Regions from separate parts of the Mus musculus genome. Here all the other regions are reported to be linked to region 1. The links are microRNA targets in miRTarBase. Many come from high-throughput screens and were not tested one by one. Region 1 holds a microRNA gene; each other region holds the end of a gene's coding sequence.

Region 1 (4,066 bases):
GGAGGCTCCTGGGTCCTCAAACACGCGAGTGACCCTTCACAGGCCTAAGAAACGGGAAGGAAAAGATGAAAGGACCTCGAACCCCTTCCTTCCACCCAATGAGTCCCTGAGAAGGAGGCACAGAGACAGCTGCTTTCCTGCCACCGCGTTTAATTTTGTCTAACATTCCAAGGCAATGCAGTGAAAAACTCTCCATCTACCGTATGGAAGCCACACCTTGCCCCTCCCCAGACCCAGGAGGTTCTCCTTTGTATCACTGAATTTATTTTTACTTTTACACAAGTCACCTTTTTGTTGTTAAGATAATTTTGCTAAGCAAAGGGTGTGGGGGGGGGGGAGGAACGGCTGGTAGGCACAAAGATGGAAAAAGATTTCTATTATCACAAGGGGGCTGGGCAGGTTCTGGATAGAGGCTGAGAGACCAATCTTATAAATAACTAAGGCAAGAGGCTCTTGGGATTGAACTGGGCCAAGATGGAGGTAAGGTGACCTAGGTAGTGCCCACCTCTGCACTTCTGCGCTGTGTGTGCTACTCCCTAAGGAGTAGGCCCTCACCCCCCAGATCTGCTTCCTTAATATGTTCAAGGAAAAGAAAGCGGGTCAAGTCAGGATGGTAGCACTAATCCTTCCCAGTCAATCTGCTAAAGCATGTATACACTGATATGTGCCTTAAAGAACCCCAAAAGACCCCAAGCCTTAAGGTATGTGAACTGACTTTGGATCCTTTCTTCCCTACACTTGATAGGGTCCATAGCTGGGTCTACATCCACCACGCGGGAGCCCTAATGGTTTCCTAAGTTGCAGGGGGCCCCAAACTTCAAGATAAGGAAAGAGTAAAGGGAGTGGCAGGAAGGAGAGGGACCTGAAGGCAGAGAAACCTCAAAGGGACCTTCCGCTCCTTGTGGGGCTAAGAACCACGGACACAGAACATTGGCACGCCCCACTCGCAGCGCCCAGCTAAGAGGGACCTGGAGCTTGAGTGGCCGGTGTGCAGCATTGGGTTGCCATGGGAACGGAATTCAGATTTTTTCCCCCAATTGCTTTTTTATTTGCTAGACATTGTAATACATCTTATGTTGCCATTTATTGGGGCGGGAAGGAGAGGAGCTCCAGAGAGCCTGGCTTCCCCCTTAACCAGTTGGGGAAGTTGGGGAGGCTCCGGCCCCAGCCGTCCGACCAGAACTATAGAGGTTTAGAGGATCTGGGCTACGTCTCTCCCGCCCAGCAGCCTGCTCTTGGTTTGTATGCAGGGCAGGGCCGGTCGGTCGGGGCGGGAGGCCCCCCGCCTAGGCCCCTTGCCATTGAGTACACTCCCCGCCAGTTCTGCTCCGCTTCACGCTGCACACAGACCCCCCAACTGCACACAAAGGCAGCTGCCAGAGCCGGTGAAAAGTGATCAAATTATCAAGAACTTGACCTCACCGAGGGGCGAAGCTCCAGCAACCCCCCAGCCGTATGCTAATGGTGCTCAGGGGCTGACTCGTCGAATAATTCGATAAAGGCTGCATTGTTAGCGGCAGGGCAGCCCCCTGCCCACCCTTTTACTCCCCCTACACACTGCCTACCGGTCTCTCTCTCTCTCTCCTCTCTCTCTCTCTCTCTCTCTCTCTCTCTCTCTCTCTCTCTCTCTCTCTCTCTCCCCCTTCCTCTCTCTCTCCCTTCCTCTCTCCCTTCCTCTCTCCGTTCTCTTTCTCATCGCATTTGCATCCCAAAATCCTAGTCTGCAGCTCAGGGCGTGGATTGTTCTAGCCTGATTTATGGGGTGAAGGCAAAGGCTGGCGCCTTCCCCGCCAGCGACCCCTCTGCAACCCCAGCCCGTTCCCTGCCCCCAACCCACTCCACTTCGGGGTTCCAGCCTCGGCGCTGGGAAATGGTGATGGGGGTGCAGGGACCGAGGAGGAGGTGAAGGGAATGCCTCCAGGACACGGCAAGTGTCCCCAGGAGAGCCGAGGTCGGATACCTGGTCCCGGCGTGGCCGCTCCGTCGAGCTGGAATCCCTGGGTGGCGTGGGCTTCTCTGGGCTCCTCTGGCTCCTGTGGCCAGGGCGGCCGGCCGGGCCATCGCACGCAGAAGTTGTGAGAGTCATTTCTACTTTCGGTTATCTAGCTTTATGACGGCTCTGTGGCACTCATACAGCTAGATAACCAAAGAGAGAAACGGGCCTCCCATTCGCCGGCACCGCTGCCGCGCTGTGGGCCCCACGTGCCGCCGCCGACCCGGCGCGGGGGCCTGAGCGGACTCCGCTCCCGCAGCCCCGGGCGCACGCGGAGAGCCAGAGGGGACCGACAGACACACAGACACACGGACTCCCGCCACCCGGATCGCCCAGCTCCCTTCCTCCCTCGCCCTCGCGATTTCTCCATCCCCAGTTCCCCGTCCAGTGCGTGCGCGGCCCGCTTCGACGCCGTCCCGGGGCGCACTCGGGTAACCGGCGCTCTGCGCTTGGGCAGCCTCGGGCGCCCTGGCGGCCCCCAGCGCACTGGACCATCAGCCCTCCTCTCGCAGGCTAATCGCCCCGCGGGGAAGTGACGTCAGTCGGGGGATCGGCCTATCACGGGCTTCCATTCAAATCCCAGCCCCCTTCCCGCGCTCGGCACCACCCAGCCTTACAATGGCCTCGGCGTTCACGGCTTCTGCGCCGCGAGGACAGGGGAGCGCCTCTTCTGCCCTCAGAAGCCTTAGGCCTGCTTGCTTGGATGCACACAGTCTGGCCTTTCTCTCAAACCTCTCTGACCTCCCAGCAACGTCTTAGGTGCCTGGCAGCCACCGCAGACCACCAGAGTTAGAGTTTGAGGGAAGAGGTTTAAGGTCGAGGTCTCTCCAAGGCAACCAAGTGAGCGCAGGAGAGGCTGCGAACCGGTCACTTTATCCTTAAGGTCTCTCTTCCTTTTTTTTCTTGCCCAGCACTGTACAGACACCGCGGTAGAGACTGGGGATTAAGGGAAGGAGTGGGTGTCTAGATCAATGTATCCCATATATATTGCCTGACTTGTAGGGATTCCCATGGCATGCTTCGCTCAAACCAGGTCCTAAATGTCGGCACCAGATTGTTAGCCCTTTCCCTCTGACCATTCCTAGTACAGCCAAGGATATGTAATCAATTGTGCCCCTGCGCCTTAAAGATATCCAAGGCCGTAATTGGGCTCCTATTCACCTCCCATAAAAATAATCAGCTCCTGCCATCTTTCTGCTCACAGCACACCCTAGCCCACTTACTCCAAGTGACTTTACAGGGCAAAAGAATTGACATTTTGAGGTTTCACAGTAGAATTGAGCCTGGCCACCAAACTGAAGTCCCGTCTCAGTCTCCTAAACGTGGTGGTTTAGAGGTTGCTCACCTGAAACCCATCCTGTCTTCCTTGCTCCTGTACACCCCTCCCACTATGAGCCCTGATTCACCCCCTTCACCCATTCCTGGGAGGCAAAGGATTAAATATGAAAAATTCGATATCTCCTTCCCCCCCCCCCAGTCATCCCTAGAAAGATCTTAAATCCAAGATCTAGAGATTGACTTAACAATAGAGTGGGGGTGGGGGGTAGCGGGTTCCAGGATTCCAGCAGTGACTATGAGGGAGTCCCAAAGACTCTCTGTGCTAAGGCATCCCCAAAGCAGCCCAGATTTGGTGGGGGTACTCATTCAGATCTGTTTTGGTGAGGCGGGGGGGGGGGCACCCCTTACACACTCTCCATCAGCAAATCCCATAAGGCTGGGTTCAAAGAATAGGCCCAAAGTGGGTGATTTGGAAGGGATCAGGGAATTTTTCTAAAGGTATCTAAAGCAGTCTCCCTTAAATGACACATCTGGATTTTTTTTGTTTAATACCAGGCTTTGGCACCACACCTCTGTACCCCGTGCTTGTTTTAGATTCGTCCTATTTTTTATCTTGACCCCAAATCCAAGGTGGGCTGCATCCCCACTGCCATCCCTGTCAGCCAGTGAGCAAGCCAGCTAGCAGTTACACACCTCTTTCCAAATGCCACCTCACAGACAAATCCTTGTCTCAGAAAAAGGACACAGGCTAGACTGAAAAGCATCAGAGAAACAGAGGGGCCGACCTACCGACAG
Region 2 (4,066 bases), not on the chromosome of region 1:
TAGAACACCCCTTGGCTCCCCTTCATTTATTGGGTTCTCTTGGAAAGCAGGTGGCCACGCTTCATGCCTGTCTGTTTGGAGCAGGAGAGGGAACACTTCGAGCCTGCAGAGCAGGACAACCAGGGGTGGGCTCTGGCCATGCAGTATGGAATTCCCAAATAGGCCCTGCTAAGCTGAGCTTCAGAGCATCATTGACTACCACTGGATGGATCACCTGTTGCAGGCCCCAGCCAGTGCCTCATCAGCCTCTCCCCAGGGCTGCCTCTGCTGAAGCCCAGACCCTGAGAGAGGACAGGATAAACATGGCTGAGTAACAGTGGGGCCATGAGCACAAGGAAGCCTTCTCTGAGGAGGCTAATAAAAGGACTGAGTTTTGAAAGTTGAGTTCACCAGCAGATGTCACAGGTATTCCAGGAGAAACACTCTAGGAGCCACTGGGCCGAATTTGAGGTACTCGAAGGAATCAGGGTTACAGAGCCTTAAGCTGGGTCAGAAAGGGTCATGCAAGGTCCACTAGGGATCCACTAGGGATCCCGGAGCAGTGGTTCCTCCATGTGGCCTAGCTTTTCCTGGTTGAACATATTTTCTTATTACTGGGATAAAATACAGACCAACAAAACAAACAAAACTCACGTAAGAATTTTGGCTCTGGTTCAGGGGATCCGGTACCTGCTGGTGGGAGCAGATACATTGTATCCAGTCTGGGAGCAGAAAAATCCTTGCTGGGGCTTAGTTATTTTCAGTCTCTCTCTTTTCTCTCTCTCTCTCTCTCTCTCTCTCTCCCTCTCTCTCTCTCTCTCTCTCTCTCTCTTTCTTGTTTGTTTTTTCAAGACAGGGTTTCTCCTGTGCAGCCCTGGCTGCCCTGGAACTCACTCTGTAGACCAGGCTGGCCTCGAAATCCTCCTGCCTCTGCCTCCCAAGTGCTGGGATTAAAGGCGTGCGCCACTACACCCAGCTCGCACTCTCTCTCTCTCTCTCTCTCTCTCTCTCTCTCTTTTTTACTCACTATGGGGCTCTAAGGAATGATGCCACTCATAATCTTCCATTGGTTAAACCACTTTGGAACCCCTCACAAGGATTCGAGTTGACAGCGAAGCCTAATCATCATAGGGGCGGTGGTGAGCAGCCTCACGGGGCAGTGAGGAAGGTGGGAGGGAAGGCCCGGGTCACTGGGCAGGTGTCTTCAGGCCCTTGGGATCTGACTCTGTGGTTGACAGATGTTTAAAGAGAGAGTGGTAAGGAAGGTCTAGGTGTCAGCTTTTTGGTTGCAAATAGGCAGACTAGTGCCGAAGGAAGCTGTAGCAGCCGTCCTGGAGGGAGGACCTTGTGAAAGACTGGTTGCACATTGCTGGTAAGGGAGAAGAGGTAGTATCCACAGTGGTGACGATGTTTCCGGCTGGAGCCACTGGAGGGTAACAGCTGAGACCGAGAGGAAGGAGGAGGAACAGCCTGGGTTGACTGTGGTCACTTGGAACAGGGTGAGTTTGGGAGACATCAGAGTAGAACTGTCCAATGGCTAGCGCCCAGGGGACAGAAGTCTGGGCTAAAGACAAAGATTTAGGATGGATGAACCATTAACATGGTGAGGTCATTCAGGGAGTGTGGGAAGGACTAAAAGAAGGCTTCCGGGGGTCACCAGAGGCCACTGCAGGCCAGAAAGCCAAGAACAAGACACTGCCTAAACTGAGGCTGAGAATCTGAACTGCACCACTACAGGATGCCTTCAGCTTCAAGCCTTATCATTCAAAGGGGTCCCGGCTCCCAGCCCCGGCTCCAGGGCAAGGTCGCCTGGATCTGATTCCAAAACAGCCAAGGTCAGATGGGCTCCGCCCCATCTGGAGCTGAGTTTAGCTGGGTCCTTAGGTTTTATACACCCTCGCTTCAGGCCCGCCTCTGCGCCCGCCCTCTAAGCATGTGCACCTAGTGTTTGTGTTAGGAGACTTTCTTCCATTTCCCCAACATTTGCAGCTCGACCGCATCTTCTCCTGCAGGGACAATCTATCAGGCTCTGCACAAGAGCCTATTCCCAAGGGTCTGGAACTATTGCAGCTCGCTCACTATACACTTACAGATCTCTCAGCATAGGGGTTTCCCCACCGCTTAGCTGCGCCTCCCCGTGCTGAGTGCGCGCAGGGCGGGCGCATGCGCACCCGAGAAGACTGCCCCCTTTAGCTGCTAGGCTTGTGCAAGACAAAACCGGAAGTATGTCCAGCTTTAGCACAAGAGCTACGCCTGGCCTTTGTTTAGGTCTCCAAGGCTGGGCAAAGGTTCTAGGTATCCTCCTGGTACAGAATATCAAAAGTCCTAGGGCAGACCGGTTTTTGTATTGTTTTCTGAGACAAGGTCTCCCGGAGTAGACCTTGCTGGCCTTTAACTCACCCTTCCTGCCTTTGCCTCTGGAGGGCTGGGAGCAAAGGCATGTACCAGCACAGCAGGCTTTTTGGGAGCGGGGATGTGAACAGCTGTTTTAAGACAGTGTGGCACCAGGCCGGTCTCAAATCCAGTAAGCTCAAGATGACCTTGATCACTAGGGATGCAAAATGGCTGTTTTGTTTCAGCCTGAGCTAATGGAAAAACCTGGCAACTGCTGTGCAGAGTTCTTCATCACTTCCAGGATGGTCCCACCATCACCTCCCCACCAGGCTGTTCCATGTCTCTGCTGACCTAACTCCTGGAGCAAGAGGGATCTACGTTATGTGAAGGAACCCCACTCCTATTGAACCTTTTGTAGTGGAAGCCCTGTCCTAGTTGCTGTAACATTTGCCAATAGGAATCAAGAGTTTGCAGGAGGCATCCTCCAGTCCCAGACCCCTGGATGACGGTACACAGTCAATTCTTTCACCATCAGACAACCTGAAGTGGGCAACACAGTGTGCTCAGTGTTTGCTGAAAGACAGCTACTCTCTGGCCAGCGTGATAAGACATTTATTAGTTCAGAGCTAGAAAGAGCAAGAGTCCAATAGCTTTTTCAGTAAAGGCTGTCTTGTGGCTGAGCATCTAGCCTGCCCTCCTGACTCTACAGTTTGCCCTGCTATTAAGGCACTTGAAAAAAGGGGGAGCAGGGATGTCTCAGACTAAACTCCCCCCGATTCTGAAGGCGGCCAGCAACATCCCACCTGTTCCCCTTGGCCACAGCTCAGCATGGAGAGCTGGCAGGGCAGGAGCTCCACAGGACAGAAGAGCGGCCCCTCATGTGCTGGTGTCGGGCAGCACCACGTAGGAGCTGCTCTTGGGAGCACTGCTTTGGATCAAGGTGTACAGGAATCCGCGTGGAGGAAGACACTTGATAGTAAGGCTATATGGCCTAAGGCCATGGCTCCAGTCTGTCCCTCTCTAGGAGAGTGCTAGAAGCTGGAGATGGAAGCAGGATCTCAGAGTTCCCTACCGAAGCAGGAGCTATCAACACAGGGATGCACCGAGTCCTCCCAGCTCCGTCTCCAGGAGGTTAATGCTCCTGCGAAAGCACCTCCGAAAGCGAGATAAAGAGTAAAACGTGCCGCCCCAGAGAGATCACCCAAACAAGTCGGGGGCAGCTGGAGCACACTCCCCAGAATGTGTACGCACTTCGGGAAGGCTTCAGTGCCCTGAAACCTGGTGCTCTGAGCAGGGTCGCTGTCAGCACCTTAGGAGCTGATCTGACTCAAAAGAGCAGAGAAGTCCATGTCCGCAATGGAGGAGAAGTCTTCATCTCCTGAGAGACCATTGGGAAGCCCCGAGGTCCCCAGGGGTGTGGGAGCTGGGTCAGGGGGCCTCTGGGACCCTGTCACCAGGCGAGTTATAGCTTCAGGGTACTCCATCAGCATGGGCTCAGCTGTGGAGTGAGACATGGACACACCCTGGTTCAGGAGCTGCTGAAACTCTGAGTTGTCCACAGATGCCAGGTCTGTGAACACTCCTGGGTCTGTGCTGTTGCCAAGCAAGGCCCCCAAGTCTTCATCAGCATCAAACTGCAGGTGCAGCAGGGCTTCCGACAGCGTGCCTTCCCCAGCCTGGGTGCTCTTTGGAACAGGTGCAGACAGGGACTGGGGAGGACCCGGGGTTAGAACTGGGGCAGGAGCTGGGGGCT
Region 3 (4,066 bases), not on the chromosome of region 1:
GAATCCCAAGAGTGCCACACTCTGAGGATGCTCCAGCTCGTTATGTGCAACGATGTGCTGCTGTTCTTCATGCACACATCCTCCTCTATGTTCAGGATCTCGGTTGGGTTCATTGCCCCTGGGTGTGGTGACAGGAACATACAACCCCAGTTCTCTGAAGGCTGAGACCCAAAGGTCCTTTTGAGTCGGAGTCCAGCCTGGCTACACAGGGAACCCTGGACTACAAAGTAAGACCCTGTCTAAATAGATAACAGAAACAAAAGAAGAAAACACACACACACAAGAACATAATGCAATACAGGCATTTTTTTTTAGTACCTTTGATCCAAAGTTAGTTGAATTTATGGGTGTGGAACCAGCTTACCGAGAGGGGAAAATGGGCTGTGTAATGTCAGGGTGACCAGGTAGCAAACTGTGCCCTCTTGAGACTGTCCCTCCTCCTCTCTCCTCACAGTACTCTCCCAGCATGAGACCCACCTACATGTCCGTGGCGGATGAACACCTGAGACACTACGAGTTCCCGTCCTAGGGGCTTTCAGTGTACCTGCCTCTTCTGCCAGCTCGGTTCTCAGCAGATGCAGAACCCAGCTGTGTTTCTGGAATAGAAACCGAAGGTTCCTGGACACGAACAGGCTCCTGTGGCTGCAGAGACACAGCTGGGACTCCTGACCAAAGCCACAGGTGGACGTGAGGCCTGTGACTGGACCAGCCTCTCCGGCCTTAACTCCCCCAGGACTCAGCTGTTGTCCCTGAGGCAGCTGCCCGCTTCAGCCCACCTTAAGTCCCACCCTCAGCAGATGAAAAATGGTAATTGAGGAGGGGACCACCAGCCTGAGAGCCCTTTTCTCTAAAGGCCCTTCCATTGGGCTCCTGCCTCTTGTTAGCGTGGCCCTAACTAAGTCCAGGCCACACCCTCCAGTTACTTGGTCCTTGGTTTCTAGGCGGTGGCAATTGGAGGTGTGTTAGGAGAACACCTGGTCCAGGATCTACGTTCTGGGACCACAGGGACTCTGCCTAGATGCCAGAAGGACAGCATCAAGAGATCTCCCCAGAGGGGATGGGTGGCTTCAAGCTGGGCACTGCAGCCTGGCAGCCATGGGCACAATTCTCTAACCTCCACCAGCCAACCCCATTCTGGAACCAGGTGTCAGCTGCAGGTGGGGACAGTCTCAGGTATGAACAGACACTTTGAAAGCACCTGAACAGGTTCCCAGTGTTTTAAAACAGGTTGATGATCCAAAGACTCACGCCTCCCGCAGGCACGGCCAATACTTGCAATAGACTCAGGCTCGGTTGGGTTTTATACCCGATGTTCTACTGTGGCTCTCACACAAGCCATCTTACAGATCTGGAGGAGAGGCCAAGGAGTGAGCTGTGGGGTTTTTGGGGTTTTGTTTTGCTGCGGTCTCCTTATATACCCTGACTGGCCCTGGCCTAGAACTCATAGAGATCTGCCTGCCTCTGTCTGCAGAGTACTGGGCTCAAAGGCGTGTGCTACCACACCACACCAGGCCAGGAGCAGATTTGCTTTGATTTTTTTTTTTTTTTTTTTTTTTTTGAGACAGGGTTTCTCTGTGTAGCCCTAGCTTGTCCTTGAACTCATTCTATAGACCAGACTAACCTCAAATTCAGAGATCACCTGCCTCTGCCTTGAGAGTGCCAGGATTAAAGGGTGCGCCATGATGCCACATCCTGGTCTTTTGGCTTTTTTTTTTTTTTTTTAATAAGATATCAGTGAGACATTCTACCCCACACGGCTAGAGAAGGACATCTGGAGCCTTGTAAAGGGAAAGACATGATAGCTAAGAAGGCCGAGGGACTTCATTCTGAGGAACAGCCACTTCTGGCCAGGAGAAAATAATAACCCCTGTCCTGCCTGCCAAGGGACAGGTTAGGGGTCTTTGGTGCTTCCAACCTCTGACCAACCCAGAGTACACTACACACCGAAGCCCCGTGGCCTTGTGCAGCCAAGCGAGGCCCTACTGATGGTGCGGGACAGGGATGTGTCCATTTCAGAAGAGCCACATTGTCATTGTACTGGCAGCTCCCAGCCAAGCCACCGGCGTCACTGTGTCTCATATTAACCTGTGCATACTGTGAGCGACCTTTGTATGCCTGTGTCCTGTGCAGACTCGGAGCTTTGACCTCAGGCCTTGCTCCTGATGTCTCCTCTGCAGCAGCTGAAGGACTTTTTAATGCATGTACATTAAACTAAAACTCCTCCGGGTTCTACAAGAGTCGGGTGGGCAAACCTCTTCTTGATCCATGTTCGCCCTCCCCCAGAAATAAACCACTTCCCTTAAGATGTGCAGCTGAGTCACTTAACTTGGTAACCTCTGAGGACTAGCCACTGTGCATGTCCCCTCCGCGGAGGTCTCGTGGGGGGTGGGGGAAGGGGGCGCGGGAGGGGGATTCCAAGAGGCTCCTCCAAAAGCTGTGTTGGATTTCAGTGAGAAATGAGCAAGGGGTTATGAGGCAGATGGCAAGGTAGCTCAGCAGGTGAGTACTTGCTCTTCCAGAGGACCTAAGTTCCGTTCCGAGCTCTCATAGCAAGCTTCATAATCACCTGCAGCTCCATCATGGGGGGGGGGGGATTGCCCTTCTGACCTTCAAGGACAACCACATGTGCATGATATACACACAGAGAGACCGAGAGAGAAACTAAAAAGCAAATCTTGGGGCTGTAGAGATGGCTCAGTAGTCTAGAGCACTACTGCTTTTGCTGAGGACCTGGGTTCGATTCCCAGCCCTTGCGTGGTGGCTCACAAGCATCTGGCATTTCAGTTCCACGATTCTGATGCCCTCTTCTGGCCACCATGTATGATGCACACACACAAAGGAAAACGTACACTCACAGATCTCATTATGTGGCCTTGGCTGACCTCCCAAGTTGTAGACCAGGCTAGCCTAGGGCTCATTGAGATCTGCCTGCCTCTATATTCCAAGCACTGGGACTAAAAGCCACCATGCTGAGCATAATTTTTTTTTTTGAGACATGGTTTCTCTGTATAGCCCTGGCTGTCCTGGAACTCACTCTGTAGACCAGGTTGGCCTTGAACTCAAATCTGCCTGCCTCTGCCTCCCGAGTGCTGGGATTAAAGGCGTGCACCACCACGTCCAGCATAAAATATCTCTTTAACTGTTTTTGCTTTATTTGAGACAGACATCCCCAACTGTCTTAGAACTTTCTCTATAGACTAGGCTAATAACCTTTGCCTTCTTTTAAAGATTTATTTATTATATGTAAGTACACCGTAGCTGTCTTCAGATGCACCAGAAGAGGGCATCAGATCCCATTACAGGTGATTGTGAGCCACCGTGTGGTTGCTGGGATTTGAACTCAGGACCTTCGGAAGATCAGTCAGTGCTCTTACTCGCTGAGCCATCTCTCCAGCCTAACCTTTGCCTTCTTAATGCTGAGACTAAAGGTGTGTACTATCACACCTGGCTATGAATCTTTTTTTTTTTTTAAAGAGGGAGCTATTGGGCTGGAAAGATACTCATTTACATAAAATCTTTTTTTTTTTTTTAAAGAGGAAGCTCTGAATGAAAGTCTCAGGCTACAGGTACCTGCAGCTTTTACCTATTTTGTTTTTTGTTTATTGGTGGTGATGGCATGTGTGTGTGTGTGTGTGTGTGTGTGTGTGTGTGTGTGTGTGTTATATGCACATAGGCCAGAGGACAAAGGACATTGGCTCTTCAGCTCTACCAACCCCTCCACCTTATTCCCCTGAGATGAGGCTGCAACCAGCAACCCCCAGAAACAATCCTGTCTCCCCCACTGAAGAGCTGATGCTACAGGCGTGGGCCTGTCACACTCAGCTTTTTATGTCGTGCTGGGCATTTGAACTCAGCTCCCATGCTTCTGCGGCCAAAGCTCTGATCTGTGGAGCCGCCCCTCACCACTGCCGGGAGCTCCTCTCACAGAACCCGAGCTGGACCCCATTTCTACTCTGGACTTTCCCCAAAGTTCCCTCTGAAGGTCATTCATTGCTCATCACGCTGCTAAGAAGTAAGTAGCCTTGATTAAGTGTTCACAGGAGCCAGCAATCCTGCCTGATATGGG
Region 4 (4,058 bases), not on the chromosome of region 1:
ACAGGAAAGGCAACATTTTGACTGAAGTCACTTCAAGTACGTAAAAGCATTCCGGGTTATATAAATGTTTGTTTCTAAGCCCCAATATTTGTATGATTCCATGTCACCCTAAATGGTCGAAAATAGTAGGGAGGAGTCCTGAGAGGCAGAGACCGGCTTCAGCCAAGAGGGCTTCTGGCTGGACAGCCTGCCTGACTGGTTTGTGCTTTAGACAGTAGCACTGCTTGCTGGCCTACCATCAAAACACATCTTGACAAAAATCCCTGTTCAAATGAAACATGAAAAGTCTTTGCCCAAAATGATTCTTGAAACAATTCTCTTAAAACCTTTTTTCAAAATGTTCTTACCAATTTTATAGCTGCCAGAAACAAAGCAGGGGGAAAAGAGCTTGGGGTTTAGGAGTTTTTAAGTGACTGGTAACATACTCAAAAGCATCAAGCCAAACAAAACAAAAACCTAATAAAAAACTGGAAGAAAAGAGAAAACCCAGTTGTGAGTGCTGGAGTAAAACAGTCACTGAAACACCAGAAGAGATGCAGGAGAAAGCACAGCAAAGTGGAATCTCACCGGACCTCAATACGCTATAATACTCAGCATTCCTGACATACCAGCTCTCAGAGCATTTAGATGATATACTGTATGTATGTATATATGTACACATATATTACAAAATGCCACGTCCCCACCCACACTATACCATCTAAACAAGCACAGCACCTAGGACAATATGATGGTTGCTAATATGGTACTTGCTTTTGATAAAGAACTTAAATTGTATCTCATATCAATTTTTTAAATATGAACATATTGGATCTAGCCCTTTCTAAACCATTTTTCAGTTAAACACTATCAAAGCTTGAAAACTCAGAAGAGTAATATATCAAAAATAAACCTATCCCCATTTCATTTTTATTAGAGTTAATCTGCCCTATAGATAAAAGTGCCACTATATATATGCAAAGTGAGCAGTACCAAACTTCTATTCTCTAGGCAAATCAGTAGCATATGTACAGATTCCTATGACAGTTCCATTCCCTTTTGGCCAACATGAAGAGAAAACATTACCGATAATGTGGCCACATACAATTTTGGATATAAGAGTTTTTAAAAAATTATGTCATTTTCTTAATAAAGATTCTCCACATAGCTCAAAAACAAGTTTTTGTTTTTGTTTTTCTCATTCTCATGTTAAAAAAAAAATCCAGCTTGCATTAAAGAGGCTTTGATTTCTTTCTGTATGAACTGAAATTTCAAAGTCAGGTTTCACAACACCATATATTTCTCACATTATCAAGTAACTGGTGTCAAACTAGTACAGTCATGCTCCAAGCATAAAGACCCAGGCCTCTGTAAATTAATATCCATCCAACTAGGAAGTATGGCTGAGACTGCCTTGGTCTCTAAAGGGTTAAGGAGACCACCTGTTTCCTCATTATGTAGAAAACCTCGACTTTTGAAGATAGACACTTAGAGATTACAACTTCTGCACGCTAGGCAAATTTTCCACTTGTGACATTTAAAATGTTCAATCTGACATTCTGACTTAATGTGAAGTAATTCCAGTTTGTTGACAGATTTGTGATTCTGCTTCCTTTTTGTTTCACCACGTTTAGCAAATGATACATCTACTTGCTAGCACAGACAGCTTTTATGCTATCTCCTTCCCAGCAAGCTCAGCAGGACAAAGATCAAACTTTAGCCGTTTGAAAGCCTTCTGGAGAATCTGGTGAACTGTCCAGACAGAAGGATTATTACATCACTCAACTCCTAGAATCATGTCCTTCACAAACTGTTCATCCTTGAAAAAAGACAATGGTTTGTTATAAACAACGTAGAACATTTACAGATAGCAACCTAGTCTTAGCTTAGAAATGGGCCAAACAGTTCCCGCTCATACGTATACTGATATTAATATTAACTTTCTTAATATCCCAAAGCAAATATAAGACACTCTTCTGAGTCTGAGTTCTTCCTCAAACGTGAAGTAACCTAACATGCCAGCCTCCACTGTCCTCATATTTGTCTTTTAAAGAGGTAACTCTTAGATTTTATTAGGTTTAATAAAAAAAAAATGAGTTATTACTAAGTCTTATCAGAAACAATGTTACACATAAATGTAGACTATAGGTAAGGATGTAAGTAGAAACATCTTCAGAAACAGAACAGCTTTTGGATAGTTAAAGCAGTACCACCTTTTTTAGGAGAAAAAAAAAAGTGTTTGCCAAATATTGTACCATAGCACACACTCCAATGTCTGAAGGAAATTACTTTTCTTGTGTGCATTTAACACAATGTTTTAGAATCACATCCTTGTAACTTCTTTGATTTAAAAAAAAAAATCCCAAGAGATTCTCTGATAAAAATATGACTATAGAAAAGGTTGTCTATTTAGTACTTTCCATCACTTTGGCTGGACATCTTGAAAACGCTCCTGTTGGCTGCACAGTGTAAATGCAGCAGTGGACTAGGTAAATGAGTGACAGTATGAGGATTCGGAAAGCAAGGACAAAAGTCTTTATTTATTAAACACCTTATTGTATAACTCAAGGAGTTAGCTTCCTGGCCAGCACCTACTCATTAAGACTTAGTACTCACCAGAATAAGCTTTATAGTATGATTTTAACTTAACTCAAAATTCAAAACCATGCTTTCCATTCAGTTGGTTACTTCTGTTAATGTATTCAAACTGCTGAACACACAGAACTGAATGAAGAAGCAACAACTGCCCTACAGAGGAACTGTAGCCAATACCGTGCTTCTCAGCACCAAGGACAACTTGTCAGTGCTGAAGAAAGGAACATACATATAAAGTTTACTCCCAACACCACACTAATATCCTTATTTAAAGGATGTTTTTAATAGTTCGACATAATTCACAATGAAAGTGTAAAAACATTAATTTGGCAGTCAACACTTCTTCATTGCACCTTCCTTACTTTCCTGTGTGGCCCACACATTACGTCAGCTCAGCAGGCTGGGTAACTGTCCCTAAGGCAATCATGGAGCTCAACAAACCTTGAAGTCATTAATAAGAAAACAAACAAAACAAACCTAAAACAAAAATAAGAAAGCCAAGATTTCATTTTCCTCATTTCCCCCAACAATTTACAAATAAGCAAATGATTACTTCTTGAGGGTGGTGGAGACGGAGGGCAGAAGTCTCTTCATGATTCCTGGCGCTGCACATTTCTTGAGGGCAGAAGTGGAAGTAGTTTTTGGAACATTCACAGTTTAATGCAAAAGCAGAAATGAATGAAATTCTGTAGTTGCTTTCAGGCAGTTTTGCGCATAGAAAAAAAGAAATGTTTAGAAAATAAATGTTTACTTGTCTTTCTGGTTGTGGCCAAGCCAGTCCATTCTCCACCGTAACAGGAGAGAACTTAAATCCCAAATTAATCTGATTTGTGGCAGTAAAGGTCCTTAAGTGCTTTTAGCTCCTCAATCAATGTTTTGTTTTGGTTTTCAAGCACTGCCACTCTGTTCTCTAAACATTTCACATATTCTTTCTTCTTTCTACGACATTCTCTTGCTGCCTCCCTAAAAATGAAAAACACAAAAAAATTTATGTTCATAAACTCCATTCCACTAATTTTAGAACAGAATGTTTTCTAGAGAAACAGCTGAAATAAGCAAACGTTCAGTATTATACAAGAAATGCTCAGGAAATGATACTGGCATTGCCTGATGCGGCAGCACACTGGTAATGCCCCTTGCTGCTAAGCTGGACAATCTGAGCGCAGCCCCTGAACCCCACATGGCTGATGGTGAGAACCTACTGCTTCTTCTTTACTTATCTGCTCCCATGCATGTGTACACGCACTAGGTAAAAAATGTATCTTTTCCAACTACCTAAAAATAGCTCAGTAGGTAAAGTACCAACGCACAAGCAGTGGACTGGATTCAGATGCTTAGCACCCTGATAAAAGCCCACAACGGGCTCAGACAGAAGGCAGAAAGCTCCATGGAATGAACTGGCCATAAAGCCTACCTCAATCCTTGAGCTCCAGATTTAATGAAAGACTTTCAAAAATGGAAGTTGGTGGGAAGGATGGAGGCTA
Region 5 (4,066 bases), not on the chromosome of region 1:
TTTGGTAATTTTACCTCATTTCATAGCATAGTATTAACCGAGGCATACAGTTGATCTACAGCTGTGTGGTACACTCAGGTTAAGTTTGGTTTTGTTATCAAGAAGACTCTAAAAGGCACCAAGTTGAGTGAAGTATTAACTTAGAGACTAGCGTTACAGATGAAGAACATGTGTTGAGTATTTCTGTGCCCCTTTATGTTCAGTTTGTTGGGATCACATACTCGGCATTTTCTTCCCACTAGGAGGCCGCTCACGATACCGGACTACTTCTTCAGCCAACAATCCCAATCTGATGTATCAGGACGAGTGTGACCGGAGGCTTCGAGGGGTCAAGGATGGTGGCCGGAGAGATTCTACAAGCTACAGGGATCGTAGTGAAACCGATAGAGCCAGTTATGCTAATGGCAGTGGCTATGGAAGCCCAAATTCTGCCTTTGGGGCACAAGCAGGCCAATACACCTATGCTCAAGGCACCTATGGGGCAGCTGCCTATGGCACCAGTGGCTACACGGCGCAGGAGTATGCTGCTGGCACTTACGGGGCGAGCAGCACTGCCTCAGCAGGGAGGAGCTCTCAGAGCTCCAGCCAGCAGTTTAGTGGGATAGGCCGATCTGGGCAGCAGCCACAGCCACTGATGTCACAGCAGTTTGCACAGCCTCCAGGAGCTACCAATATGATAGGCTACATGGGGCAGACTGCTTACCAGTACCCTCCCCCTCCCCCTCCCCCTCCTCCATCTCGCAAATGAAACTGCATGGCAGGAGTGACTCGTGCAGATGAATTACACATCTAAAGGAACACTGTCTTTTACCCTTCTAGACCTTTTCATTTTTATTTTTTCTTTTCTCAACCATTACGGTTTATCTTTTTTTAATGCAGATAGTTAAAATTTCACTGCCAGGTTTCTTCTGCCCACCCAAAAGATCCAGTCTATAATTACAGATTTTGTAAGAAAAAATATATATACACATAACTGACTGGAAAGAATTAATTTCTTTCCCCCAGCTTAATGCATGTTGAGGATATTGAGCTATTTTTCATCTTAAAGGTATTAGGCACTTTTGTTGGAGCCTGTTTATCCATGGGAGGGTGGGTAGGGAAGGAGGGACTGCTCTGCAGGAAGTGGTATCTGTTCTTTAGACTGCTCTCCTTAGGGAGGAGCCAAGAGGGATTTCCATGCACACTGCCCATGGTGGGTTTAAGTTACTGAAGTTCGATTACTCAGGCCTGATGAATTTTTAAGACTGCTTTGTTGGTCATTTGGCTGATGGCTTCTTATGTGCATTCAACAGTTAAAAATTCCTAATCGATTCTGTCATCATGCCCCCTCCCCACTTGTTCCTGCAGTTATTAAATATTAACCAGGTTAGTGTTGAGTTAGAAATTACATTTCTGAGTTCAAGCGTTGTCTTTTTAAGTTTAAAAAACTATAAAGGGTTGTTTTTACTAGGTAGACTGGCATCTGGGTAGAGGCTGCCTGGGATTTTTATCCCCACATAACCAGGGGCCATCTGAAAGTCATTTTCTAGCCAGATCAGCCACTGAGCGGTAAGCATCAGCGCTCAGCAGAGCCTTCCGAGCAGCATTTAGAAAGCACCTTTGGGAATGATGGACTGCAAGGGAGTGGGCGGATCTTCCTCTTAAACAGTATTCTTAGAGTAGGATTGACCTCATGGGCTGCTCTGCCCACTTGGTCAGGCTCTCCTGAGCAGGACTGCTAAAGAGCTTGCCTCCTCAAAGCCTGGTCTCTGAGGTGCTTTCTAACAGCTGGAGGCACTTGTTCTGGGCTTTCCTTTGCCCTCAGTTTTTCACAGGTAGGTAGTAGCCATGGAGGGCTGAAGCCCAGGCTCTCCTTACTCTCTGGAGTGTGAAGGTAGGGGTGAGCTCGTCTCACCCCTTTATTAAATGCTCCTGGAACTTGGAAGAGCAGCAGATGAAGTTGGAAAGAAAATTCTGCTCTTATCACCTAAACAGGACAGGAGAGCAGATGCCCCAGCGCCTCTAGTAGATGGTAGTGGTGGGGCTAGTGTGTGGCTGTTACCTGGGCCGCTCAAATTCATTCCAGGGAGGAGGCTCCACTGCATTCTTTGGCTGTGCCCTGAGGGTGCCTGCTCCTTTGTACGGTAACAGTCAATTTTGAGGTTTCTTTCAGGAAGAGAAAGGGATGGTTTTGAGGGGCTCAGAAAATAGGATTCAGTGTGTAACATAACAGGTAGGTTGTCAGCATGCTTGGCATTCTTCTGTTTTCCTTACCGTTTTACAGACTATGAAGCTGAGGGGGGATGGTAGGCACAGATGTGTGGCAACCCTGCTCTGTGCTCTGAAACCAAAGTGTGTCCTGTCTTGTCTGTCTCTCACCCTGCCAAAAGCAAGTGTCTAATCACTGATGCTGACCAGCCTGTTACAGATACTTTCTACAACCAAATTCAGATTTATTTTTTATTAAGCATTATACCATGGGCTGTCCTGTGCTCCTGTCACTCTTCAAAAACACCCCTTCTATTACTGCCTCCGGGGATGAAGCAGTAGCTAGGTTGCTTAACCTCCCCTCTCCAGCAGAGGCATAATCCAGATAAGTAGCAGATGTCATATTTCATAAGCTCTTTTGGCCTGGGTACAGCAGAAAACTAGCAGTTTTCCTACTTGGCGCAAGTGACTTGTGCCTCCTTGTCTGTCCTTTGTCAGCACAGGTGCAGGCAAACCCTTCCAGCTGGGTTAATTGCCGTTTATGGTTTACTCACTTAGGGAAAGGGCTTAGGTGTTAGGCTGTGGGCTGCTTCTCCCTAACCATCCATTGTGCAGACTTCTCATCTAAAAAGGTTGGTGGCTTTTGCTTGGGATCAGTGCTCTGCTAACGCCCTTGCTGGTCTCTCCACACATTCCTGTCATTGAGACTTGAATTGTAGGTGTGATGTTATGCACAGGATGCTCAGAGCTATGTTACTACTATTCTTAGTTTGTAAATTGTCCTTTTGATACCATCTTGTTTTCTTTTGTAGGTATAAATAAATACTTGACAATAAAGGTGTGAATTTTTTATTACATTAAAACTTAAAAAGAGTTTAAGTGTACTCTTAATGTTTTCCTCCAAGCAGTGAAAACATTAAGCAGGGTGAGTGTATTAGGCATTCTATTTAGCACCTCAGGCTGGGAGGGGAAGGCTACATTGGTGGTTCTTAGCACAGAATGGATTTACACAGTGGCCATGGTGTCCATCTCAGCTAACAAGTGAGCTAAGCAGTCCTAAGCACTTGGCAGAGCTGGTTATTTGGACTGCTTACAGCTTGCAGGCCAGGTGGACATGTGGCTCGAGTTCAGCACGCTGACCTAGGGAGGTTCTCTGAATGGATCTTCCCAGCCCTGGGCATGAGTTGTATAGTCCTAAGGAAGCAAGGAGTTGAGCCACTCACGGAGGTATCTACTGCTTCTCTTCACTTGGCACTTGTAGGGCACCATCCTTGGGCAGATGGGCTAGGTATCCCATTCTATCCATGGTGGATTAGGGAGGTGCTGCCGTTTATCCCAAGATGGTGCTTTGCTCAAATTCACACCAGTCACTCTAACATGAAGTCCCAAGTCTTGGCTTGAAGTCATGAAGCAGTGATCCGGATGGTTTGCTTTAGCTGCCATAGGGGTGGCCCTTCTCTTCAAACTGGCACCGGGAGGCTTAATTTCTTTCCTTTAAGGACTAAGGAAAAAAAGATAAAATTTTACTATGTGTTGTACTTAAAGAAGAATTCCTGCCCCCCTCCCTCCACTTTAGCTGGCCTTGAACTGGAGATCGCCTGCCTTTGCCTCCCTTGTTACTTGTTGCGGGTCACCCGTGGGGTTTATGCTGTTTCCCCCCACTTTGGTTACTGGTGTTCTTACATCATTTTAGATGAGTATGTCTACTCCATTCCCATAGCCTGTGTCTATCCATCCCAACCCTGTTTTTAAACTGCCCTGATTAGTCTCTGCATGGTGGCTGCTGGGCATGGTGACACAATAACAAACCCCATAACCTAGATCCCTGGGGTTCTGTGTGAACTTAGTTTCCTTGCGTTTCAAGGTCTACTACTGCTAA
Region 6 (4,057 bases), not on the chromosome of region 1:
GCTACTTGAAATATTTGTAGCATTTTCCTTTAAATATATTTTCTACTCTACATGAGTGTTTTAAGGCCATAGATGGAAAACTACTCTTCCTTGTTCTTAGCTGAAGATAATCAATACAATGGAAGTTAAAGATCATTAAATTCTAATTACATAATACCCTTACTAAAAACAAACCTGCCTCCATTTATTATTAACCTGGGATTTGGACAGGCTAACACATCGGGGGCTCTGACGGATGGAAAGAGCCTTCTCCTTATTATTTCAGTGCCGGCCTATCTTTGATTAACACTGCCTTTGAAAACCTCGTTCCCTTCTTTTTGTGTCTGACTGGCTAGATCTAGACAAACAGAACAATCATGCTATTTATAGGAGGTAGGTGGTGGCTCTCTCTGCACACACCCAAGAAGTGGTTAGAATACACAAATGTGGACATGACAAAAAATCTACAATGAGTGTATGGAAGGAAAACCGCCTTGAATAAGCGAGCACTTAATACTAACGTGTTGCTGCAGAGGGCTTCTGCTTTGGAGGCTTGACCCTGTTCTGGCTGAAAGGATGCTTGATAAAGTCGGTATATAATGGGCAGTCAAGTGGATGTTAAGTCAAAGAATGCCAAGGACATTCACAAGGCTCCTAGCTGGTACTGTGCTGAGCATCCCAGGTGGGGAGTGCTGGAGAGGTTGTGGGAAACAAGATTGGGAGAGAAACTGGAAGGAAGGAATAGGTAAATTGCTGTGTGCCTGTGCAGCAGCTCGAGTATTGGGGACACAGGGTCTGTGAAACCAGTAGGTTTGTCTCACCAACACTATGACCCTTGAATAGCTTCAAAACTGTAAATTGTCCTCCAGTTTAAAATTTTTCATGAGATCCCTGACTCCACTCCCCTTCTTATTCAATCATTATGAACATAATTTATTCACAGCCTAAGGAAAGATGAACTGTATCAAGTTCGGGTGGCACACACCCAATCCCAGCACCTACCTATCAAGCCCCAGTACAGCCAAGGTTCCATGGTGAGACCTGATTTCAAAACGAGCTATTTATTTTCAATAAAATAAACCGTCCTCTTTGCTGGAGTGACACCCCTGTTCCCATTAATGTATGGCTGATATTTTGAGAAAAGCACTTTCATACTGAGGATACCATTTATGAACTTTGCCAGTTCCCCGGTAATTAAGGAGAATTCCTAAAACCCGTAAAATTCGACAACCAGGCTGCTCAACAAAGCTCTTTTGTTCCTTCCTGCCACGTGGAGGGACAGTTCCTTTGCTGTTCATCTGTCATCCGTGATTTGCTGCTGCACGGTGAGACAAGGTCTTACTGACTCTGGAGTTCTGGGATCACAGGTGTGGTATGCCATACGGAGAGGAAAAAATGGGGATTTTTACTATGGAACAATAGGTGGGAACTCACTCTATTACTAGTGTTTGTAAACTAGCTCTAGTCTTTCAGAGTCGGCTGGCGTGGACCTGCATTCTCAGTAGCCTGAAGGTAGGAGGGAATGTAGCTGAGCTGTGGTTACCCAGGCCTTCTGCAAGGTTTCCAGGTCCATATGTCACCATCATTCTCATTTGCACATCCCCATGTTGGCAATACCAAATCTTCAAGTCCATTATACCAGAAAGTGTAATTTTTTTATCTTTTCTGACACTAAGGCCATTTATTAAATATGGCCAAGAAAGTACATCCTGAACCAGAGGGAGATGCACACATTTAATTCCCTGAGTCTCAAACCTAAAATTTAATTTAACCAATAGAAACATTTACACACACACACACACACACACACTCAGCGAACACTTTGTTGAGCTATGTATTGACACAGGAGTCAAGATTTCCTGTGTTCACTGAGTGGAACAGCACTGTAGAACACTTCTAAAAACAAGCCACAGCCTTCCTTTCTGCCTCTTGTTAACTCGGTCATCTCTTGGGGACAAGGTGTGTATCCAGGTCCCTTGGGTCCTCCATCCTCTCAGCAGGTGGCAGGTGGGAGAGCCCAGACCTGCCTGTAGCTAATGACAGACTGTGCTTGCCTTTCAGGTCCAGTATTTCTTCAAGATCTTGGATAATTAGCTCTCCAGAGTAAAGACGACACAGACTGAGACGCCCAGACAATCGAGTCACACACGTGAGGAATGTGTTCATTCTTTTATTGTCCGTTGTGTTAACCTGACTGACACAAGATCAACAAGAGCACTGTACTCCTGGCAATTATTACATATGCTAGAACATGGATTTGCACTGTAGACAACACTTAACACCAGTCTATGGGGTACTGCATTGCTTTTTATAAAGTTCAAAATAAAGATTTTTATTTTCAAACAAGTGACTTTGGTTTTATTTCATACATTACACTTTTTCTTGCAGAAAAAAATAAAATTGTACAACTGCATAAATATAAAATTCTTCCACCATGAAAATGGTCAAAACATTCATAAGGACGCAGCACCAGCGCATGATGCCTCCAGAGAAAGGAAAGAAGGAAAGGAAATGGACGAATAAGCAAACTACCCAGCCCATCACTAGCCACAGTGACAGGCAGATCCCAGTCTCAGACACAGCTGCAGAACACACTGGAGGACACGGGGAGAGATGGCGAGACAGCATTCAGCACGGAGCACAACACAACCCATCACCTTGATTTTTCTGTACTGTCACTTAAAATTTAAAGGGCAGTTCCCCCATGACAGCCCACCCCCCAGCCCCAGGAAATAAAGAAAAAAAAAAAATAATAATAAAGACCTGATACCACAGGAAGAGACTATGGAGTGTGTTAAAAATGCTCATCGATGGGCCGTTACCTTTGAAATTTCAGAGCCAAGAAAATAAGAAAGAAAGGAAAAAGTACCATGCCAGTTTTATTCCCGTTGAGTATTTACACCTTGGACAGCAAACCTTGCTCACGTAAAGTAGAAAACAGATATGATAAAACATGGCTTGAAAAATGACCAGAGTGCGCACCTATAGTACTGTACACTAAATAAAATAGACAAGGCGGCAATACTTAGGGGCCAGAACACTGCTCACTACAAGTCAGTTACGGAATCTAATTTACAGTAAAAATGGGCACGTCCCAAGGCTCAATTTTTATTTTTCTTTTGTCATTTACAGTAGAATAAATATTTTGTTGCTATTGCTACACTTTAAATTTACATTCTAACCTATTAAATGCAGAAGCTAGTGTAAAGCATAGAGATTAAGTGTAGGTCCCATACGTATGACAGTTTGTTCAAGACTAGTAGGTTTGTGTATCTTTTTTTAACTTATTAAATGGCTAGTGGGAAAGATTTGTGCTTGTGATCAGCTCTTAATTTCAATTTTTACATCAAAGCGTCCCTGAAAACGGTCTTTCTCACTGTACCCAATGTTCTCACCATACGCCTTACACTCGACGCGGATTTCAGTGTCCACGGTGAGGTTGGTGAACTGCACGGCCAGCAGGGGCTGCAGGTACTTGGGCTGCAGGAGTTTGCCGTAGTAGGGATAATACTGCAGAGGGAAGCCGTAGTATCCGCCCATCCCAAAGTACTCTATGTTCCCGACTTTATCCTTATCTTCATCTCTCTGGAAACCAAAAGGACATGAAATTTAATTTTAAGGGCATACACGCATCATGGGTCTCGTCTTGCTCTAACGAACGAGACTCTCAACCCCATCAGAGGCTGCAGTGGCGTGCCTACCTCAAACCTCTCAGAAGCTAAGCCTATCAAGCAGTGGGTGGCGTGGATTGGTGACACCACAGGATAAAGGTCGGTTCTGGCCGAAAGCAGCCAAGAAGCATTCACGAAAGGGGGCTCTGCAAATGGAGACACTGAGGCAGAGACCAAGTAAGTGATTCTCTAAGCTGGCTCAGCCTCGCAGGAAGGCCAACAGTGAGAGGAACCCCTGGCTTTTGGACAGTGTTCAGCGACATTCTCTCCGAAGACTTACATATGTGTCCTTTATTTCTTACATCCATCTCTTGGCTTGGTACTGTAGCACTCATTTTTAGCATTCATTAAGAGTGAAAAAAGAAAGTTGGCCTCAGAATTTAACACATGCCGTGGGCTAGCTCACC
Region 7 (4,066 bases), not on the chromosome of region 1:
GCGAGACCACCTCATCACCTTATCATGCCTTCTTAAAGGGTGTTCTTTGTTTCACAGGTAAATTGCTTGATATAACTGGAGAATATAAATACCTGTACATAGCCAGCGGAACAGTCGTGTTAGTATCAGGTACTTACCTCCTGATTGGCAATGCTATAAACTATAGACTTCTCGACAAGGAAAGGAAGAGAGAGAAGGCAAAGAAGAAGAAGTCAGCTTCACACGCGTCCAGAGAAATGGAGGCCCTGAACAGATCTAAACAGGACGAAGTTACTGTCAAAGCTTCAAACGCACACAATCCTCCCTCAGACAGGGACAAAGAGAGTAATATTTAACAAGTCTCATCGCCGAATCAGTGTTCATGAATTTAATCATGAGTTTCTTTGTGTGTGTGTGTGTGTTTTTTTCCAAAGAATTGCAAAGGATTTTAGCTGCAACAAAAACATCGCAAACAGTAACAAAACTGGCATCTTCCTCAATGCCATAGTATAAATTCATGCTTTAACATTTGTTGGGATGGTCAACTCTTGAGATGGTGCACGTAGAAAACCCACGCACTTGCTCATCTGCGCACCTGAGTTGTGATGAAAACAACTAATTTTTTAAATCTTCCACCGATTTTTACTTTTAGCTGCAGAATTAGATCTGCATTCCAGACCTTGGCTCACCTAAGCACAATTCAACATTAATTTCACAAAATGACTCTCTTGAAGGTTCATTTTTTTTTCATTTGATATTAAGTCATGAAGTGAATTGAGGACAATCATTTTTTTCTTTTCAACACACAAAGAATTACACATGTATCTACGAAAACACTGAGTATCGGGAGATCATAAAGAAATAAATGGATTTGAAAAAATTATTATCATAGTCATTCTTAAGTCAAAGGAAAACTCTGGGAAGCAGGAATATGTTATATTTGCGTACAGTTTTGCAGTGTGGATTAAAATTAACTGTACGGTGGAAAAAAAATCAGTGTTATTAGCTCAAAGAAGGCTAAAGGGAAAAAAATCTACATGGATAAGTTTGGTTAAAAACAAAACAGAACTAGTTTTTCACCATCAATCTGCCATACTTGTGCCAGTTTAATCTGCACACCTGTCTACACAGTTTCTTTGAGAGGTCACAATTAGGGCTGGGTGCTAGACAATAGAACCCCTCCATTAATTTCCAGAATTCATATCTAACACATAACTTGATTTAAAATGCAGAGACACTGAAAAATCGGATGAATCCATGCTTTAGAAGCCTGCTAAGCAATGATGTACATCTTTCGATGACTTTTTAAAATGGGGGCTTAATGCAGATTTAATGGGGTGCTGAACTATCCAAGCCAAATAAATGAGAAGAGCTGACATATTCAAGTAGACTAGATTCTGTTTTTCCCTCCAGCACAAAGTAGTGACATAAGCTTGATCTCATGAGTAATTCATAGGTGTGGAACTGACAAGACCAGGGGTCATTCCTGAGCCCTGCTAACAGGGACTTATAATTTATAATTCTTTACTACAATAAGCAAAAGCAAAAACCAAACCCAGACCTTGAATTCCATCCCAGAAGACATCTCTTGTTATACAAGGAGGGGAAACACTTGAAAATTCCGCCCTCTACTGATTGGACTACCCACGACTGAGAATAGAACAGAAAAGCTGGAGTGTGTCCCCAGGACACTTCTGGCAACATAAGCTGTGGGGACTGACAGACATGTAGTTTATAACACAGTAGCAACATGGCAGAGAATTGTTGTTCAGGGTACTTTAGGAGTTTGCTCATTTTCCAAACCTAAAGTGTCTAGAAATCAATCTCATTCTTACAACACTCTTTGAGAGGTCTGTGACCTCCTATTGTGTACATAACAGCTAAAACTAAATATTATATGTCTCATGTCTTGTTTTATTTTCTGATAAATAGGGAGAATTTTGTGCTTTATTATTGAAGTCACTTTTACAATGTCTCTTCTTCTTCTTCTTCTTCTTCTTCTTCTTCTTCTTTTTCTTCTTCTTCCTCTCCTCCTCCTCCTCCTTCTTCTTTTCCTTCTTCTTCTTCTCCTCCTCCTCCTCCTCTTCCCTCCTTCTCCTTTCCTTTCAATAGAAGTGGGTGCTATTCTTATTTCTTAGGATCTATTTAGACACCACATTTTCAGGGTATTGTTAAAGTTTTGATTTGCCCATAACAATTATACACTACTTCATACAGGTGATTTTATAGGTTCATATTTAGGGAGCAAAGTAAGATTTGGATTTTCTTCATTTTTCAATTTTTCAATTTTCAATTGCTTTCTTGAATATGAAGTTTCTAATTTTCAGCTATTCAATAAAAACAAGATGTGCCAATATTGTAGAGAAATTAAGCAGGGCAATATGTGGCTCGATATGAATTTAAAGAAAAGTTAGCCCCACCCAGTCTTTTTTTTTTTTATAGTCCTGGCTGTCCTGGAACTCACTTTGTAGACTAGGCTGGCCTCAAACTCAGAAATCTGCCTGCCTTTGCCTCCAGAATGCTGGGACTAAAGGCATGCGATGCCACCACGCCCGGCTTCTGAATTACCTTCTTTATATGATTCCTACCTTCGTGTTCACTCCTGTGTGTCCAAAGAAGTCATCCTAGTCAACCATAAATGCTTCTGATAAGAATTTCTTGCACTCTTTGAAAATACCTTTAGAAACTAATATAGCTATCAGACAACAGGAGGAGAGAGGCAGAAAGGCAGTAAGCTTGGGAACTGTAGTCGAAGTCCCTGTGGACCACCACCAGTGTGAGGAGATGCTGTCAGTAGACTCCAGCGCCTGCCTTTCTCCCTGGGAAGTGATGTCACATGCTGATGCATCAAATCAAAACCAAAATGTACTCCTCTCCTTGCTTTTCAGTCATCTTGATTTGCTTAATTTGTCTTGGTCATTGCATTGATATTTTTTAAGAGGGTGGAAAGATTGTAAAGCACACAATCTGTTGTGTAGAGTCATGCTACAAACATGACATGATAAGTGTGTACATCTGTAATGAATAGGTCCTAGGTTAAGCCGTGTCTCACTCGAATCAGCAACAAAACCATAATAGAAAAGAATCCATTTGTTTGCTTGTATTTGTCCACTGCACCTGTTGAAATATTTGCTGCTTTAATGAAGCCTTTCAAAGACCGAGGAAAGACTACTGACCTAACGTGTGTGTCCCTAATTACCCAAGTAGAGGGGAAAAAAAAACCAAACCTGGTTTGCAACTTTAATACTGAATACCTCCCTGCCACCAAGGAACAACAGATTTTAGATGTTTAAGATAAGAAACTAGCTTGGTACCATTAAAATGCCCACTATGTCCTACTGATCACTTCAAAGTTAAAGGAACTAGAGTACTCACAAGTTACAATCAGTAGCTAGCTTACATATTTTGTCATTTGTTGTTAAACATCCCATATTTTTTGCTATTTAACTATTATCACCCATAGACAGATAAATGGGTATGAACTTGTCTTGGCCTAGTCATTTCAGCTTCTTTTTGAAGAGGCAATGGGCTAGATAGTAACAGTAAAGATATGATGTTTTTAGTGTAAATTCACATGGCTCACAGACTTCCCCTTTCTGTTCTGTTCCAACCATCTTCCCTCACAGGGTCACATGCTCCACCCAGACAGCAGGAAATAAGTAAAACAGTTCAATTTGGTAAATTCAAAAGTATGCTGTAAAGACGTAGCCTCTCAACTCGCTGCCTCTATCCCTACAACCTGACAATACGAAAAATTAGAAATGTAATGGTAGATGTTCTAAGTAGTTGAAATTACATTTATCCAAAGAATGTTTTATAAAGAAAAACTCATACATAATTTCTAACCTTTAATAAAATAAAATAGCCAAAAGTTTGGCTCAATTTACTGGGAGAATGCAAATTAGAGTAGGGGCTAAGAGGTCTGTGGCATGCATTTTGCCTACGTAATGACTTTTAATATTTAAAACAAAGCCATACTAGAAGTAATTAACTTGATGCAAGAGAATCTCTCTCTCTCTCTCTCTCTCTCTCTCTCTCTCTCTCTCTCTCTCTCACACACACACACACACAGAGAGAGAGAGAGGAG

What was found. Region 1 holds the annotated microRNA mmu-miR-9-5p (UCUUUGGUUAUCUAGCUGUAUGA, at 2,129-2,151, opposite strand). A microRNA usually pairs through its seed, bases 2 to 8, with sites in the 3' UTR of a target mRNA and lowers its output. Matches are read on the target gene's strand: a 7mer-m8 pairs with bases 2 to 8, a 7mer-A1 pairs with bases 2 to 7 and ends in A, and an 8mer does both.
Region 2: the mRNA of Rela is a reported target of mmu-miR-9-5p. The part of its 3' UTR that is shown has no 7-base or 8-base seed match.
Region 3: the mRNA of Ttyh2 is a reported target of mmu-miR-9-5p. Seed matches in the 3' UTR shown: 7mer-m8 at 669-675 and 7mer-A1 at 1,237-1,243.
Region 4: the mRNA of Creb1 is a reported target of mmu-miR-9-5p. The part of its 3' UTR that is shown has no 7-base or 8-base seed match.
Region 5: the mRNA of Ddx17 is a reported target of mmu-miR-9-5p. Seed matches in the 3' UTR shown: 7mer-m8 at 2,326-2,332.
Region 6: the mRNA of Atp1b1 is a reported target of mmu-miR-9-5p. Seed matches in the 3' UTR shown: 7mer-m8 at 2,330-2,336.
Region 7: the mRNA of Slc16a7 is a reported target of mmu-miR-9-5p. Seed matches in the 3' UTR shown: 7mer-A1 at 408-414, 7mer-A1 at 2,590-2,596 and 7mer-A1 at 3,782-3,788.

The regions. Positions count from the first base shown.
Region 1 is chr7:79,503,364-79,507,429 of GRCm38, reverse strand. It overlaps Mir9-3 (microRNA 9-3), which reads right to left and starts at 2,166; the gene lies at 2,077-2,166. The region is part of intron 1 of Mir9-3hg (Mir9-3 host gene); the gene reads right to left. Gm51285 (predicted gene, 51285) reads left to right here and starts at 2,094; the gene lies at 2,094-2,151.
Region 2 is chr19:5,646,974-5,651,039 of GRCm38, reverse strand. It overlaps Rela (v-rel reticuloendotheliosis viral oncogene homolog A (avian)), which reads right to left. Exons shown (of 11, transcript NM_009045.5): 11 at 2,906-4,066. The coding sequence ends at 3,624. Among named protein-coding and RNA genes, the nearest start is that of Rela, 11 kb to the right of the region's middle.
Region 3 is chr11:114,718,675-114,722,740 of GRCm38, forward strand. Ttyh2 (tweety family member 2) reads left to right here. Exons shown (of 14, transcript NM_053273.2): 14 at 455-2,310. The coding sequence ends at 529. It also overlaps a transcript of Dnaic2 not described here. Among named protein-coding and RNA genes, the nearest start is that of Dnaic2, 6.7 kb to the right of the region's middle.
Region 4 is chr1:64,596,713-64,600,770 of GRCm38, reverse strand. Creb1 (cAMP responsive element binding protein 1) reads right to left here. Exons shown (of 9, transcript NM_009952.2): 9 at 1-3,537. The coding sequence ends at 3,393. Among named protein-coding and RNA genes, the nearest start is that of Mettl21a, 19 kb to the left of the region's middle.
Region 5 is chr15:79,526,694-79,530,759 of GRCm38, reverse strand. It overlaps Ddx17 (DEAD box helicase 17), which reads left to right. Exons shown (of 13, transcript NM_001040187.1): 13 at 243-3,064. The coding sequence ends at 748. Kdelr3 (KDEL (Lys-Asp-Glu-Leu) endoplasmic reticulum protein retention receptor 3) reads right to left here. Exons shown (of 5, transcript NM_134090.2): 5 at 3,021-3,688. The coding sequence ends at 3,648. Among named protein-coding and RNA genes, the nearest start is that of Kdelr3, 12 kb to the right of the region's middle.
Region 6 is chr1:164,434,976-164,439,032 of GRCm38, forward strand. Atp1b1 (ATPase, Na+/K+ transporting, beta 1 polypeptide) reads right to left here. Exons shown (of 6, transcript NM_009721.6): 6 at 2,124-3,564. The coding sequence ends at 3,301. It overlaps Nme7 (NME/NM23 family member 7), which reads left to right. Exons shown (of 14, transcript NM_138314.4): 14 at 2,041-2,325. The coding sequence ends at 2,073. Among named protein-coding and RNA genes, the nearest start is that of Gm39690, 18 kb to the left of the region's middle.
Region 7 is chr10:125,224,281-125,228,346 of GRCm38, reverse strand. Slc16a7 (solute carrier family 16 (monocarboxylic acid transporters), member 7) reads left to right here. Exons shown (of 6, transcript NM_001358915.1): 6 at 58-4,066. The coding sequence ends at 335. Among named protein-coding and RNA genes, the nearest start is that of Gm46205, 65 kb to the right of the region's middle.